2 linked regions of the Diceros bicornis minor genome follow. The protein of the gene in region 1 purifies or fractionates together with the protein of each later gene. This does not show direct contact. Links are inferred from orthologs where the notes say so. Each region holds a gene or a part of one and is shown in the gene's direction. Other genes may lie near its edges.

Region 1 (6,822 bases):
GGGCCAACGTGGAGTGAATTGACCGCTTCCCCTATTTGGCCATCCAAACAAGTCTTAACATTTTCTGGTTAGGTTCCATCTTCACACCCAATTGGAGTATTTAGCGAATCTCAGAAATCACTGTTCAGTTCCTATCCCTCAGTTTCTGCTCCTCCCCTGCTCCACAAATGAATTTCTTTCTCTTAGTTCAGTTGCATTCAACATATATTTAATGCAATTCATGATATGGACATGGCGCCATGTTTAGTGTTGTTAGGCAAATCAGAGGTGAATACAGTATGGTGTTTGATTTCAAGATATCCCTACTTCCCTATTTTATCTATCTATCTATCTATCTATCTATCTATCTATCTATCTATCTCTCTATCTATCTACCTACCTACCTACCTATCATCTATAGATAGATAAATGCTGTGGTAGATACTATTTATAGATAGGATAGATAGATATATAGATAGACATACAAATAGATACACATATATACACTCAGAGGGATAAAGATAAAGATATATTCTAGTAGGACTGGAGGAGAGAAGAGGCTAAAACAAGTAATGGAGAGCTAAAACAAAGCATATTGGCTCATCTGCTTTGCAGAGACACAAGTAAAGTATCCGATGGTGGAAGAAAGGATGTGTTATTACATCTTGCTGGGGCAACCATGAAACACGACCTTGAAAGCTTTTCATGATGTGGCTTTCCTCCACTTCTCTAGTCTGATCTTGCAGAACTCTTTCCCTGCCCTCTGTGTCAGCCACATTAACTTTCTTTCAGTTCCTCAAACCCGCCCCGTCCCTTCCTCCCTAGGCCTTGGGACAGACTCTTCCTTCCACCTGGAATAGTTTGTCTTCTCCATCATCACCTCGGGAAAGCTTCCCTGGGTCCTAGATGGGGTCAGGCTCCCCACTATTCTCAGAGCACCCTATAATTTAGCTGGTACCCCTTAAAACTGTAATTAACCAACCAGTGTAAAATTAGATGCTCAGTGTCTTTTGCCTTCCCCAGGATGTAACTCCACAGAGGTTATGAAATATGTCTGTCTCGATCATCAATATAGTTCTGAACTTGGAACAATGCCTTGCATGTAGTAGGTACTCAATAAATATTTTTGAATAGATTAATAAAGGTGTATTTAGGATTCTTTATCCTCCTCCTCTTCTCCTCCTTTCTCTTCAAGTCCAGCTCTCCTTCCCATCAATGTTTACTTCTCCTAATAACATTCTTTTCTCTGTGGTTCTGCACACCTTATAAGTCCTCTGGTCTGGTAGGACCAGTCCTATGAATTGAGAGAAGACCTCCCATTTTTTCTCCTCTGTATATCTCATTCGGGCGACATAATCTAGGTGTTGCAAATAACTCCTTCAAAGACATCATTTGGGGTTTGTCTGAGAATAGGTCGCAACGCCAAGTGTGGTCTTTGGATGTGAGCATCAGCATCACTGGGGAGCTTGTTTGAAATGCAGTCTACGTTCACCTGGGTCTGAGTCTGCCTTTTTACAAGATCCTCAGGTCATGGTGCACATTAAGCTTTGCTATGAAAGAGCTTATTTTCTATTAGATGGGTGCAGAAGAAAGCAGGTTCAGTTATGTGGGATATCAGCTGCGTCCCTGCAAAGAAGACACTGAGATGGAGTTAGGAGTACAACAGGTTTATTAGGAGGTAATGAAAGGACCTGCAGAACTCAGCAGGGATAGCCTTCGGACCACAAGGCTGATCTGACACCTGTGAAAGGAAAGAGGAGAGGAGGGTTCGGAATGCAATGTATTTCTCACAAACTCTTGGCCGACCCAATGGGGAAATCCAGAGCAAAGAGTGCACATGAGCAGAGTTCTGCATTGGGCAGAAATGGCCAGGTCCTTGTAACCCTGTTGTGCTCAGTCTTTGGCAGAGGGCTCCCCAGGAAGAGCACGGCCTCTGTGTGAAAGGGAGGCAGAGCCAGAGGATGCTAACAGCTGGAGGCTGTCAGCTAACTGCACTCCTTGAAGCTGAAAAGCAAATTCTCTCTTTAAGGAAGAGCCTAGCAGTATGGCCCCATGGCTGCCAGATGTGACATCTGAAGGTAATTTTGCAAGAAACTTATAAAAGCTAGTAAAGGTATGGAAAGCAGATGGAAGAAAACACCACATGAAAGGAGCCTGATTGATGTGCTTCGTGTTTATGTTGTACTCTTGTTCTTCAGGGAATAGCCTCCCAAGGGCCCCTGGACCACAAGGTCCAGAGAACTCTTTCCCTTAAGGAGCGCCAGGGAGAGTTCGTGTCAACCAACACGGCATCCCCATCTTTACAAGATGCAGAAGTCAGTAAACAAGATACAGTGGCCACAGGTCTCTGTGCTCACTCTCTACAAGCTCAGTAAGCCCCAGGCTCCCCAGGGGCAGACGTGATCCTGACTGGCAACCTCAGAGCCAGAGAAGAATAAAAACCCGAACGAGATGGAGCAGGAAGGGCAGAGGTCTGGGGAGGTGAGTGCGAGGCCCTGTGGATACCCAGTGATGCCTGCACAGACTGGTTCTCACGTTCACGCCCCTTCCTCCGTCATGCACATCTGCAAGGAGAGCTAACCGCAGAGTCACAGACAATGAAGACATTTACATATGCCTAATTCACATCCACCCTCACGGACAATTAAAAAAGCCACACGCACTAAACTTCTCCAACCCTGACACAAGCTCCTATATCCGTACCCTGCTACTCCAACAAACACTTGTGCACTGGGTACCAAGTGTCCACAACATCCCCCATGTGCAGACACATTCACAGACAGAGGTGTGGCATCCACATCTATAAACCCCAAATGACATACAGGAACACAAATAGACAGACATTCAGAAACACAGTGACTTCACGGTAACTTAAAACCAACGAACACCTGGAGGATGTGTCTGTAACTGCTAGACAGGCCTTGAAAGCTATTTCCCTTGGCCACAGATAGATGCCCAGGCCAGATGTGCGTGTGGGGACTTGTATCTAGAAAGGCGGTTACGCATTTCTGTAGAGGTGTGGTGAGTAGGGAGCCCAAGGGCCCAAGCTCTGTTTGCTGGGGTTTGAATCCCAGCTTCACCACTTTCTACCTGTGTGACCCTGGGCAAGGTAGTCCATCTCTCTGTGTCTCATTTTCCTCATCTATAAAATGGCGATAATAATGATACTTAGAAAATAGGTTGCTATAGGAATACACCAGTCAATATTTGTAAGGTGCTGAGAATGGGCCTGGCATATCCTAAGAGCAAAGCAAGTATTGGTTCTTATTCTACTCCCGGGAATTCTCCAGCTCTGGGAATTCCATAACCTCCCTGGCTCCCTCTCATTAATGGCCTCTGCCCGCCACCACCTGCACAGGCCTGCTGTGGTTGCTGGCTCTGGGCGTCACCAAGCAGAAATAGCTCTCACTGGGACTCTTTTCTCTTTCCTCCCCTTCCCTGTTAAGCGTTTCTGCAAATGGATTTGTGGAGAGAGCAAAGGGCTTGTGTCTCAGCAGGGATATGAGACCAGGCATGGAATCTTCCCAGCAGCTGCCTTCCTGGGGTTGTCGCGCTGACCACCGCTCTCTGGACAGGAATCCGGGCTTTCCCGTGGGTAAGGGCAGGGGGACGCTGCAGGTTTCAGGCGGTTACCTTTTGGTGGGTTTGTAGGAAGATGGGAAGAGAGACGCTTCTCCATTGGTCTGGAGATAGACACAGACAGAGACAGAGATAGATATATTTTTACCTCTATCTATCTTTGGGAACAATTACGGAAGGCAGGGGGCGTGGCCAAGCTGTGGGTCTTGAACTGTGATTCTTCCCAAAGAAGAGAGAACCCTTATCCCTCCAAAGGGGAAATGTAAAGAGGACTGTTGTCTCCCCTCTCTGATACTCAGCTCAAAGCCTCATCCCTCCAACCCAAGGCAACTTATCTCCCCTCGAGTCCACTCTGCGTTCAGCTGGTTCCCTGGTGAACTGAAATCCAGAGCTATTCTCATCTGGTTGCCCCGGGAGTTTCAGCGCTCGCGGTACAACCTGTTCCTCCATCCTCTCCGCTCCTTCTCTCCCTCCTCCCTCCGCCCGGCTGCGCCCTTCTCAGCCCCCCTCCCTCCTCTTGCCCGGAGCCCCAGCTGTGCCCTCCGGGGAGAGGCCCGCTGCCACGGTACCGGGGAGGGGAGGCGGGAGAGGAAGGAGGGGAAGGGAGGAGGCGGGGGAGCCGCGCAGGGTGGAGGCCAAGCGCCGCCGCGCAGCCGACGAGGAGAGGGGCAGCTGAAGGTTGCATCTGCTGGAAGGAGGCTTTTGGCTGCTTGGTAACGGGTTGCCAGAACGGAGAAAGAGGCAGAGAGCAGGGCAGCGGCTTCTTGACGTCAGGACCAAGCGAAGGGATCGCGCCAGCAGCCCCAGCCCGCCGCACAGTGGGGGCCCGCCGAAGGCTAGAGAAGAGCCCGACGCGAGGCGCCCAGCGGGGCGGGAGTGGGGTGGAGCGGGAGCCAGTCGCCAGGGGCGCAGCATGCCCCCTGCCCCCCGGCCATGGAGATTGCCCTGGTGCCCTTGGAGAACGGCAGTGCCATGACCGTCAGAGGAGGAGGTGAGGCACAGGCAGGCTGTGGCCAGGCCACACGGGGAGAGCTCCAGTGCCCCTCGACGGCTGGGCTCAGCGAAGGACCCGAGGAGCCTGCGCCAAGGGGGCGCGGCACTCAAAGGGGCGCGGACCCGGGAGGGCGGCCTTTGCCACCGCTCCCCGAGGAGCTGCAGCAACCTAGATGGCTGCCTCCGGAGGGCGAGGAGGGAGAAGGCGACACCGCCCTGGGCATGGCGGAGGACCAGGCGCCCGGCGCAGGGTCCTTTCACCACCAGCGCGTCCACATAAACATCTCCGGGCTGCGCTTCGAGACGCAGCTGGGCACCCTGGCGCAGTTCCCCAACACCCTCCTGGGGGACCCAGCCAAGCGCCTGCGCTACTTCGACCCCCTGAGGAACGAGTACTTCTTCGACCGCAACCGGCCCAGCTTCGATGGCATCCTCTACTACTACCAGTCGGGGGGCCGCCTGCGGAGGCCGGTCAACGTCTCGCTGGACGTGTTCGCAGATGAGATCCGCTTCTATCAGCTGGGGGATGAGGCCATGGACCGCTTCCGGGAGGACGAGGGCTTCATTAAAGAAGAGGAGAAGCCCCTGCCCCGCAACGAGTTCCAGCGCCAGGTGTGGCTTATCTTTGAATACCCGGAAAGCTCGGGGTCTGCGCGGGCCATTGCCATCGTCTCCGTCTTGGTCATTCTCATCTCCATCATCACCTTCTGCTTGGAGACCCTGCCTGAGTTCAGGGATGAACGCGAGCTGCTCCGCCATCCCCCGGTGCCTCACCAGCCTCCTGGGTCCACCCGGGGGGCCAACGGTAGCGGGGCTGTGGCGCCTCCCTCTGGCCCAACCGTGGCACCTCTCCTGCCTAGGACCCTGGCTGACCCCTTCTTCATTGTGGAGACCACGTGTGTCGTCTGGTTCACCTTTGAGCTGCTTGTGCGCTTCTTCGCCTGCCCCAGCAAGGCGGAGTTCTCTCGAAACATCATGAATATCATCGATGTGGTGGCCGTCTTCCCCTACTTCATCACCTTGGGGACTGAGCTGGCAGGGCAACAGCCTGGGGGTGGAGGAGGGGGCGGCCAGAACGGGCAGCAGGCCATGTCCCTGGCCATCCTCAGAGTGATCCGCCTGGTCCGGGTGTTCCGCATCTTCAAGCTCTCCCGCCACTCCAAGGGGCTGCAGATCCTGGGCAAGACCTTGCAGGCCTCCATGCGGGAGCTGGGCCTGCTCATCTTCTTCCTCTTCATCGGAGTCATCCTCTTCTCCAGTGCCGTCTACTTCGCAGAGGCTGACAACCAGGAGACCCACTTTTCCAGCATCCCGGATGCCTTCTGGTGGGCAGTAGTCACTATGACCACAGTTGGCTATGGGGACATGAGGCCTGTCACTGTGGGGGGCAAGATCGTGGGCTCACTGTGTGCCATCGCTGGGGTCCTCACCATCGCCCTGCCTGTGCCTGTCATTGTCTCCAACTTCAACTACTTCTACCACCGAGAGACGGACCACGAGGATCAGGCAGCCCTTAAGGAAGAGCAGGACAGCCAGATCCAGGGGACCGGGCCGGACAGCAGAGGCCAGCGGAAAGCCAGTTGGAGCAAGGGGTCCTTCTGCAAGGCTAGGGGGTCCCTGGAGAATGCGGATGGAGCCCAAAGGGGCAGCTGCCCCCTAGAGAAGTGTAATCTCAAAGCCAAGAGCAATGTGGACTTGCGGAGGTCCCTGTATGCCCTCTGCCTGGACACCAGCCGGGAAACGGATTTGTAAGGGGGAATTCAGGCGACTGGTGGCAGTGGGGTAGGGACAGCGGAGGCCTCTTGAACCTGGGTATTTACTTTATACCGCAGAGTATTTCAAGACCACCCTGTAACCTAAGTCTGTCCCTCTTCTTTCACTACTTCCCACCATCATCCCTCCGTGGATCCCCCCATTTTTCCTCTTCTTTCCATGACACCAAGGGTCGCCTATTTTTAAAAAGCACCACATTCCATGACGCAGGAGCTGTTGAAGTGGTGAGCACTGTGAGATGGATGTATTTGTAGCCCGTTTCCTATACTCGGCAGAGGGATAACCCAAACAAAAATGACTTTAAATAGCCAAATCCCAAGAGATTTTGTAACCCCCCGCCATGTGTTCCAAATTTGCTTTACATATGATTATATTTATGTATAGGGGAAGGTATTATTTTTATGGCTGGTGAATGGATTTTTGTACTGTAGTTTCAGATGGAGATATTTTGGATATATTTTCAAGACATATGTGGTATTTATGGAAGAGAGAGTTACT
Region 2 (7,540 bases), on another chromosome or scaffold:
CCACCTGTGGTCCGTGTCTCCGGCACTCAGAGCAGTGGAAGCAGGGCGGGTGTGCCCTGGGGAATCGCAGGACCCCAGCCAGTGGCCCCCTCCCAGCCCCGCATGCCGGGAGTGGCCTTGCCAGGCTGCACCACGGAACTGCAGTTCCCGGGCTTTTAGGGGAAGAGACACTCGTGAATAATTCAGCCTCTTTCACTGAGATGAAAACACCCTAATAGGACTAATGGACTCGCTGCCTCCAAACTCGACCCTTGTGGGACTCTCCTCACTCACCAATTGCCTCTGACGTTCTGCAGTGACACTCCCTAATGAAACAGCTGCTGCGCCAGGTCCTCAGAGCGTGTGGTGGACCCTAATAAACCAGACGGTGTCCTTTTTAACGAGCAGACGCCCAGAAGGCAGGTGAGTGGCCCCGTCAGCTCCAGGAGTGCAAGTGGCAGCCACCTTCTTCAGGGGATGCTGCTTGGGGACAAGTGTCCTAGGAACGGAATAACAGAGGGCCGGTATTTGGGGATGCGTTAGGCTGATCTGAAATTAGACCCCCTCTATTTTTTCAAAGGGGAAAACCTCAAACAAAGCCAGCCCCAGGTCCCCGTGAGATGACCGCTGGAGGCAGGAGGGTGGGTGTCTGCCGCTTGAGCATGCTTGCCCCCCAGCCCCACCGAGCGAGCGCCGACTGGCTGTCCCCGTCTGGGGGAGACCTGGGCAAACCGCTCCTACCTTGTTGGGCTCACCGTTAGGATTCAGCATTTTCGAGTTTCCCGGGAGTGACAGCAGGGAGGTTTGTGGCTGTCTGAAAGGTCTGTCTGGAAACACGGCCTGGGAGAGCGGGGCTGCTTGTTCAGGCCTTGGTTTGCTGATTGCTCTCCAGCAAAAATCGTTTCGTTTCTGCCCTGACGCGATGCCGTGCATTGTAGAGCCTCGCTTGGAATGATGCCGCTTCCCCTCGCATTCCCGCTTTCAGGAACTCTGGCTGGTTTCTCTGACATTGAGGCAGATGTCGCCGTTTAAAAGAGATGTTCAGGATTCCTTCCACACCTCGCGTCTCATGCTTTGGTGGCTGTCAGTAAACAGACCACAGTTCAGCAGCGCCAGGTGGAAGGCTCTTCAGAGAGGTCGTGATTTCCACTGACTTAATGAGGTTAATGTCTTTGTTTCGTGTTTCCATGTCATGGTGTTCATTCACGTGAATTCCCCCGAGCCCACCAGTCTGCAAGAATAGATTTGCAAAAGGCAGGCTACAGAAGCAGTAGGCGCCGCGTAATTAGCAATGGCTATTGAGGAGGGGGCTGATTTTCCTTGAGCTGGGGATGGGCGGCAGGATGGTGAGGAGGAGCAGCGAGAGGTCAGTGTCACTGTGCTTTAAGCTCTGAGAAGCCAGAGGGCCGAGGCAGAAGCCCCAAGCGTGGGCTTGCCCTCCCTTCTGCCGGCAGTGTCCTCCTGGGGACCCTTCATCCAAGGACCCAGCCCTGCTCGAGTTGCCTTGAGAGGCAGCGGGAATAGGCCCCAGTGTGAGGAAGTCCGGGGAGCTGGCTTCTGTCCTCTCCCACCGGTGGCACTGGTGACCGTCAAGTCCCACTGTGCCTTCTGTGTCCTTCCTGCTCTGGGGGGTCTTGCCTCCCTTGAGGACCTTAGCAGGAGGAACATCTCCCAGCCCCTCTTTTGCTGTGCCCACGCCCCACTTCTCCCACAGATCTCCTGGCTGGAACCTGCCCTGGCTCCACAGGACCCTCGCAGCAGGAGGCTCTGGGCTCCCTCCATGCTGCAGGTGGCCCCGCCCCACCCGCAGGCCCTCCCGAGGAAGGGTCACAGCAGAGGAGGCCCAGCCCCACAGAGAGGGGCCCTCCAGATCCTGGCCGCACCTGTCCTGCACCCGTCTCATTAGGAACGTGTGCTCTCCGTGAGACGTTTCATCCTATTCAACATTTTCTAGTGATATTTGGTATCCGCACAGCTTCCTCGTAGCACTCAGGCCCATGCTCATGTGTACCCTCTCGGGAGGCCCCATCCCCCCTGCCACCCTGTCTTGTGTATTTTTGTCCCGACACCAGCTATCATTACTGGTGTCACATGCCACGCCTTGTTGTTGGTGGCCACCTCCCCGCGTGCAGCAAGCTCCCGCTGCAACACCATCCCCTGCCCAGATGTCCAGCTGGTCCTCTGCAGCCCGAGGCAGCCTATGCAATAGGCCTCCGCTTGTCCCACTTCACAGACGTGGAGACTGAGGCTTGGAGTGGTCGAGATGTCTGACTAGGTAGCCCTGAGTGGGTGCCCCTGCCCGAAACCTGGCTGCTTAGCCACACTGTCATCCCAGCCCCAGGGCCTTGGCTAGATTTCCAGAGCCAGACCAGACCAGGGTTGCTTTTGGTGGGTGATGACTTGAAAGCTAATGGTTATTGATCTCGGCCTGGCTGGGCCTGGCTAGGAATGCTCATCTGAGGTGGGTCCTGCTTTTTGGGTGAGCTCCTGCAGCTGCAGGCTGCATAGCTGGTCTTCTCTCTGAACATGGACCCCCCGGAAGCCAGGATTGGTCTGCTTTCACCCCACCACACGGCCAGCGGCCTCTGAAGCAGCTGCCTGATGCTGCCCTGTGTGCACTTGGAGAGGGGGTGGGAGGGAGGGAGCTGCTGTCTGTGGGCTTCCGTGGCACCATTTCCTGAGACAAACCCCCACCCTGGAGCCCCGTGCCCTTCTACTGCCCCCAGAGTGATTCTCCCAGAAAGGGGGGATTTTTACACCAGGGACATCCCTGCCTGCTTTAGTGTCCATCAGAGACCTTAGTCCAAACCTCTGGGGGACGCCAGAAGTCCTGGGCCCTGCAGGCCCCTTCCCTTGGACCTGAGCCACAGTGAATGCGAGTCCTGGCCGAGGGGCCCCCCACCCCCCAGGAGAAGGCAGCTTGCGGAGAGCTGTGCCTGAGTCAGGGAGCCAACCCAGCCCCCCCAGGTGCTGCCGGGCACTGGCAGGGAAATGCCCAGTTAGTGTTGCGGGCACTGAGCAGGCGGCAACAAAAGCAGACAGAAGAGTGCCCCCTGCCTGGACCTGACCTTCAGGGGGATCAGATGCAACAAACAAGATGATTAGAGGAGACTCCAGCACGTTAGATGATGACACGTGCCGTGGACAAAAACCGCAGCAGGAAAGGGGATATGGAGTGTGGCTAGCCCAGGCGGCTCCACCACCTCCACACTCAGGGACCGAGCCACAGCCTCTGCAGCTGCCTCTGCTCCCGGGACAGCCCCTCCAGCCCTTCCCAGGGATAATCGGATTTGTTCTCCCTCGGAGCAGAGGTCGGGACAGTGCTGGTTCCTCCAACTCCCAGGGCTGGGCTCCGGGACCCCGCTCTGCAGCTGACCCTGCGGGAAGGGTAACTCCATCTCACCTCTGTCGTCAGTGACTATGCTGGGGCTACCGTGCAGGCAGCTGCGCCAGGGTGGAGGGCTGTGGTCAGGTGCAGGAGGAGTCCCTGGATTGTAGGCCACCTCTGCCCCTTGGGGCCGTGTCTTTGTTGCCCGGTCAAAGATGCTGCAGGATGTAGATGCCAGTCATGATGCCACCCTTCGTTGATGCACTCATTTATGCACATGAATTCACACACAGTAAATGGTAGCGTCCCATGCACACACTTCTTCCCCTGGCCTTTTTCCCACTGTCTTTTAGGACTCATTGAATATCAGTCTGTGTAGAGACACCTCTCTCGATGGCAGCACAGATTTCCATGATGTGGCTGGACTGTCATTTACGTAACCAGTTTCCCCATCAATGGACATGTATGTTGTCTTTAGTTTCCAAGAGCGTGCAGACATTGTTTAGGATGACTATTTAGCAATGGTGCTTAACATTTAAGCTTTGAAATTTCCTCATCCATACTAAGCCTATTCCCCCTTCTTTACCCCTCTCCTTAAATGCATCCTGCTCAGTGTTTCTATTGCAAAACTTCGTGGATTGTGACATAGTTATCACGGAGCGTGGCGCCCTGAGAACTCTGCTGTGCAATGGCGCTTTCTACAAGCAGAGAATGTGTATGGATAGCACTTCCCTTTACAAGGCTTGGAACAAATGAGCAGGGTCTTCCTGGGGCAGGGCCCCCTGGCATGTGGGCTGAGGCACCCCCGGCCTAATCACACTGGAGTCTGCTTCAGTGACAGGTGTGCTGCTTCCCGGGGACAGCCCTTCACGGGTTTTACTCTGGGAACGCCTCCAGAGAGCACCGTGATGTCGGGTCTTCGGCTGTGGGGGCTCTGCTCTCTGCATGCTCCCTGTGCCCCTGTGTTCATTTGGAGCACTTTTGAGCTCTCCCGCCTGGAATGTGGCTTCGCCTGTGCTTGACTCACGGGTGTCGGGGGGAGAGGGCGGCTTAGCCAGAGCTCCCGGCCAGCTTTGAGGACTGAGAATCTCATGCCAAGAAGTATTTACATCCAGGGGCCTGGCCTCGTCCCTGGGCATCAAGACCCCTTGGTGGCTGCTCTAGTTGGAGGATGTGTCTCTGCAGCCACCGCTGCCCTGGGGCCAGCATCCAGCCCGGGCCCTGGGGGCAGCAGCACGCTCTCTAACCCGTCGCCACCCGGCGTTTCCCGTCTGGACAGTGGTGGCTCCCAGGCCAGGCGGTACCATGTTGTCCATGACGTACAGCGAGAGCCTGAGGAGCGTGAGCAGCAGGTGTCACTCTGATTGGGCCCTGCACCCCGTCCGCCAGACCGACACACTAGAGCTGCAGCGGCTGCGGGAGGTGCGGGCGGCCGCCCAGGCCAGGAACATGGAGAGCTTCCTCCGCATGCACGGCCTCTCCCTGGATGGCTGCACCGCCCGGCGCACGGGCATGAAGTACCGGTAAGGGCTGGGCTGGGGCTGGGGCGGGAAGTACGCTGGACGTGGCAGGAGGCCCGAGGCAGGTGCTGCAAGAGAGAGAAGCCCAGGAAACATGAAAACAACTTTACCGTATGTCAGGGTCAATATTTTGTGTTTAAAAATGCCAAGCATATAGAAATGTATAAAGGAAGAAAATGAAAGTTTGCACAGTCCTATCCTCCAAAGAAAAGCACCGTTAAGTTTGGTATATTCTCCGTGGGAAAAGAATGTGGTTTCTTGAAAAAACTTTGCAGCAGGGGTAAACGTGCTATTTCATTTGTCTTCTTGCAACGTTGCTGAGACAAATTAATTGTTAGGAGTTAACTAAACATGAATTAGGGAAAATACCTCAATTCGTCATCTCTAATGACAAACCCTACCTGGCGCCAGAAACCCGGGTTGGGTTGTGGGGGCAAAGACATGGTCCCCTCCTTTCCATCCTTAAATTGAGCTGTCCTCGTGGGAAGTGGTTTCAACAGGTGGCCTCTGAATTGCTTGCTGCAGCTCCGCCTGTAACTGTGATGGTGAAGGCTGTGGATTAAATGACCCTGTGTTCTCCAGGGGACAGGCATGTGGGGCTTAATTTCCTGGGAACCTCAGAAGGACATTCTCTTTAGCTTGCTCATTGTTGAAATCAACGTCTGGGACAGTACTCCGGCCTGCCTACTTTCTCCTCTGGGAGCCTCAGAAAGCAGCCAGAGAGCCCTGGAGCTTGCATTTTCCGTTATAAATTGCATATATGCAGCTTTATTCCTGCGCCTCCCAGGGACAAGCCCTTGCCAGAGCCAGTTGGCCAGAGAACACCCTCTCCGCAAATAAAATACAGGATGCCCAGTTAAATCTGAATTTCAAATGAACAGTGAGTTTATTTTTTTAGTATAAGTATGTCCCACATATACTAAAACATTTTTCGTTGTTTGTCTGAAGTTCAGATTTAATTGGATGTCCTGTATTTCATCTGGCGACTTGAAATCTTTAGCTTCCATCTAACAGGCCCCTGGGGTTATCGGCTGTTCTCTGGAGAGTAGAGTGACCAGCCTGTGGCTTTAACATTTCTCCTATGGACAATGTGTTTGGGCCTTCGGCTGATTGTTTGAACATGTGGTTGTCATTTAAAGCAACAAAACACTTCTGCTGTGAGTCCATTAGATGGCAGAATCCTTAAGGCTTTGTATTCTAACTCCAGCTGTAAGGGAAGCTAGTTTGGCCCCAACGAGCTCCTAATTCTGATGGAAATTTCTCAAAAGGGAGATGAGACTCTGCATTTTTTCTTTTTTTTGGCAAGTCATTGATACTTTTGATTAATTCAACAAGTGTTTATTGAGGATCTACCTGGCTCCAGGGAACAGGTGTGCCAGATGCCACATGGACAAGACAGACAGCGTCCCCATCCTGGATATCGCTTCCTCAACGGGGGAGGCAGAGAGAAAGCAAGTGGACACCTAAGGGAGTAAGGGGAGCCGGGGACGACTTGGGCCAGAGACCCCAGCCATCTGAAAGGGGACATTTGAAGATATGCGGCAGACCCTTCTGGGCCAGGGAGACAGGCGTACTTTTGGAGAGAGAAGGCCTGAGTGGCCTGGCCTAAGTGAGGACGGCGGAGAGCTGTAGGGATGAGGCGGGGTGGCCAGAGTTTGTCCTCCCCCTAGGAAGACCCCAGCTCCCTCCGTTGAATATGATTTGTGATAGAGGGTGCACCAGGGTGAATCGTGTGCCCCAAAATTTCATCTCCACCCGAAACTTTATTTAGAAATGGGGTCATTACAGATGTCATTAGTTAAGATGAGGTCCTACTGGAATGGGGTGGGCCGTAAACCCAGTGACTGGTGTCCTTATAAGAAGGCCATGTGAAGACACTCAGGGAGAGGCCATGTGACAGTGCAGGCAGAGATTGGATGGATATGGCCACAAGCCAAGGACTGCCTACAGTCACCAGAAGCTGGAAGAGGCAGGAAAGATCCCCCCTAGAGCCTTCGGAGAGAGTGTGGCCCTGCTGTCACTCAGCTTTCAGACTTCTGGCCTCCAGACTGTGAGAGAATCGATTTCTGTTGTTTGAAGCCCCTCCGTTTGTGGTACTTTGTTATGGCAGCCCCAAGACACTAGCACAGCTGGCAGGGGGTGGGTGGAGGGGATGGGGACGAATCTCTTATGTGCCTGACACCCCAGGAAAAGGTCTGTGTGGCATCTGAAACATGCAGAACTAACTGGGGCCGAAATACCCTGGGAAAACTGGGTGGGAGAAACAAGAAAACCACTGGTGGCACCTTTCGCATTTGATGGGCCAGAGGTTGTCACACCTGCGGGCCTTTCTTTATCTGGTGGATTTCATCTTGCTGCATCCAGGGGGGGTTGGTTGTCTGGAAACAGGGCCTCCCTAACTAACGCCACCAGTTATTAAAGATTCCAGATAAATGCTGTTCCGCAGTTAACATCCCCATCAGCATCTGGGCCAGGACTCAGTTAAACTTGGTCTTAAATAGTAATATGAAAAAGGTGATGCCTCCAGATAGGTGATGCTCGGTGGAGCAAAGACACCCACGCCACTGGCCGGACGTGTTATCGGCTGAACTGAGCCTGCAGCTGGGGAAAAAGCTTTCTTTTCAGCTTCTCCCATTTGTTTTTAACTGTCCTCAACTCTTGCTGTTTAAAACAAATGCACTGAATTTTTAAATCTGCACGATCCCCATGTAAG

What was found. Proteins that work in one complex are often made in the same cells at the same time.
Region 2: the proteins of KCNA5 (region 1) and KCNAB2 purify together in Homo sapiens (co-immunoprecipitation; 3 studies listed by BioGRID and IntAct, counting the BioPlex papers as one, with this or other methods). This does not show direct contact. The link is inferred for Diceros bicornis minor from reciprocal best matches to the Homo sapiens genes KCNA5 and KCNAB2.

Annotation. Positions count from the first base shown.
Region 1 is NC_080756.1:56,493,824-56,500,645, reverse strand, and holds KCNA5 (potassium voltage-gated channel subfamily A member 5), read left to right. Parts: upstream 1-4,491; coding exon 4,492-6,303; downstream 6,304-6,822. UniProt on the Homo sapiens protein: Voltage-gated potassium channel that mediates transmembrane potassium transport in excitable membranes. Forms tetrameric potassium-selective channels through which potassium ions pass in accordance with their electrochemical gradient.
Region 2 is NC_080752.1:26,153,993-26,161,532, forward strand, and holds the start of KCNAB2 (voltage-gated potassium channel subunit beta-2), read left to right. Parts: upstream 1-4,531; 5' UTR 4,532-4,612; coding exon 4,613-4,830; intron 4,831-7,540.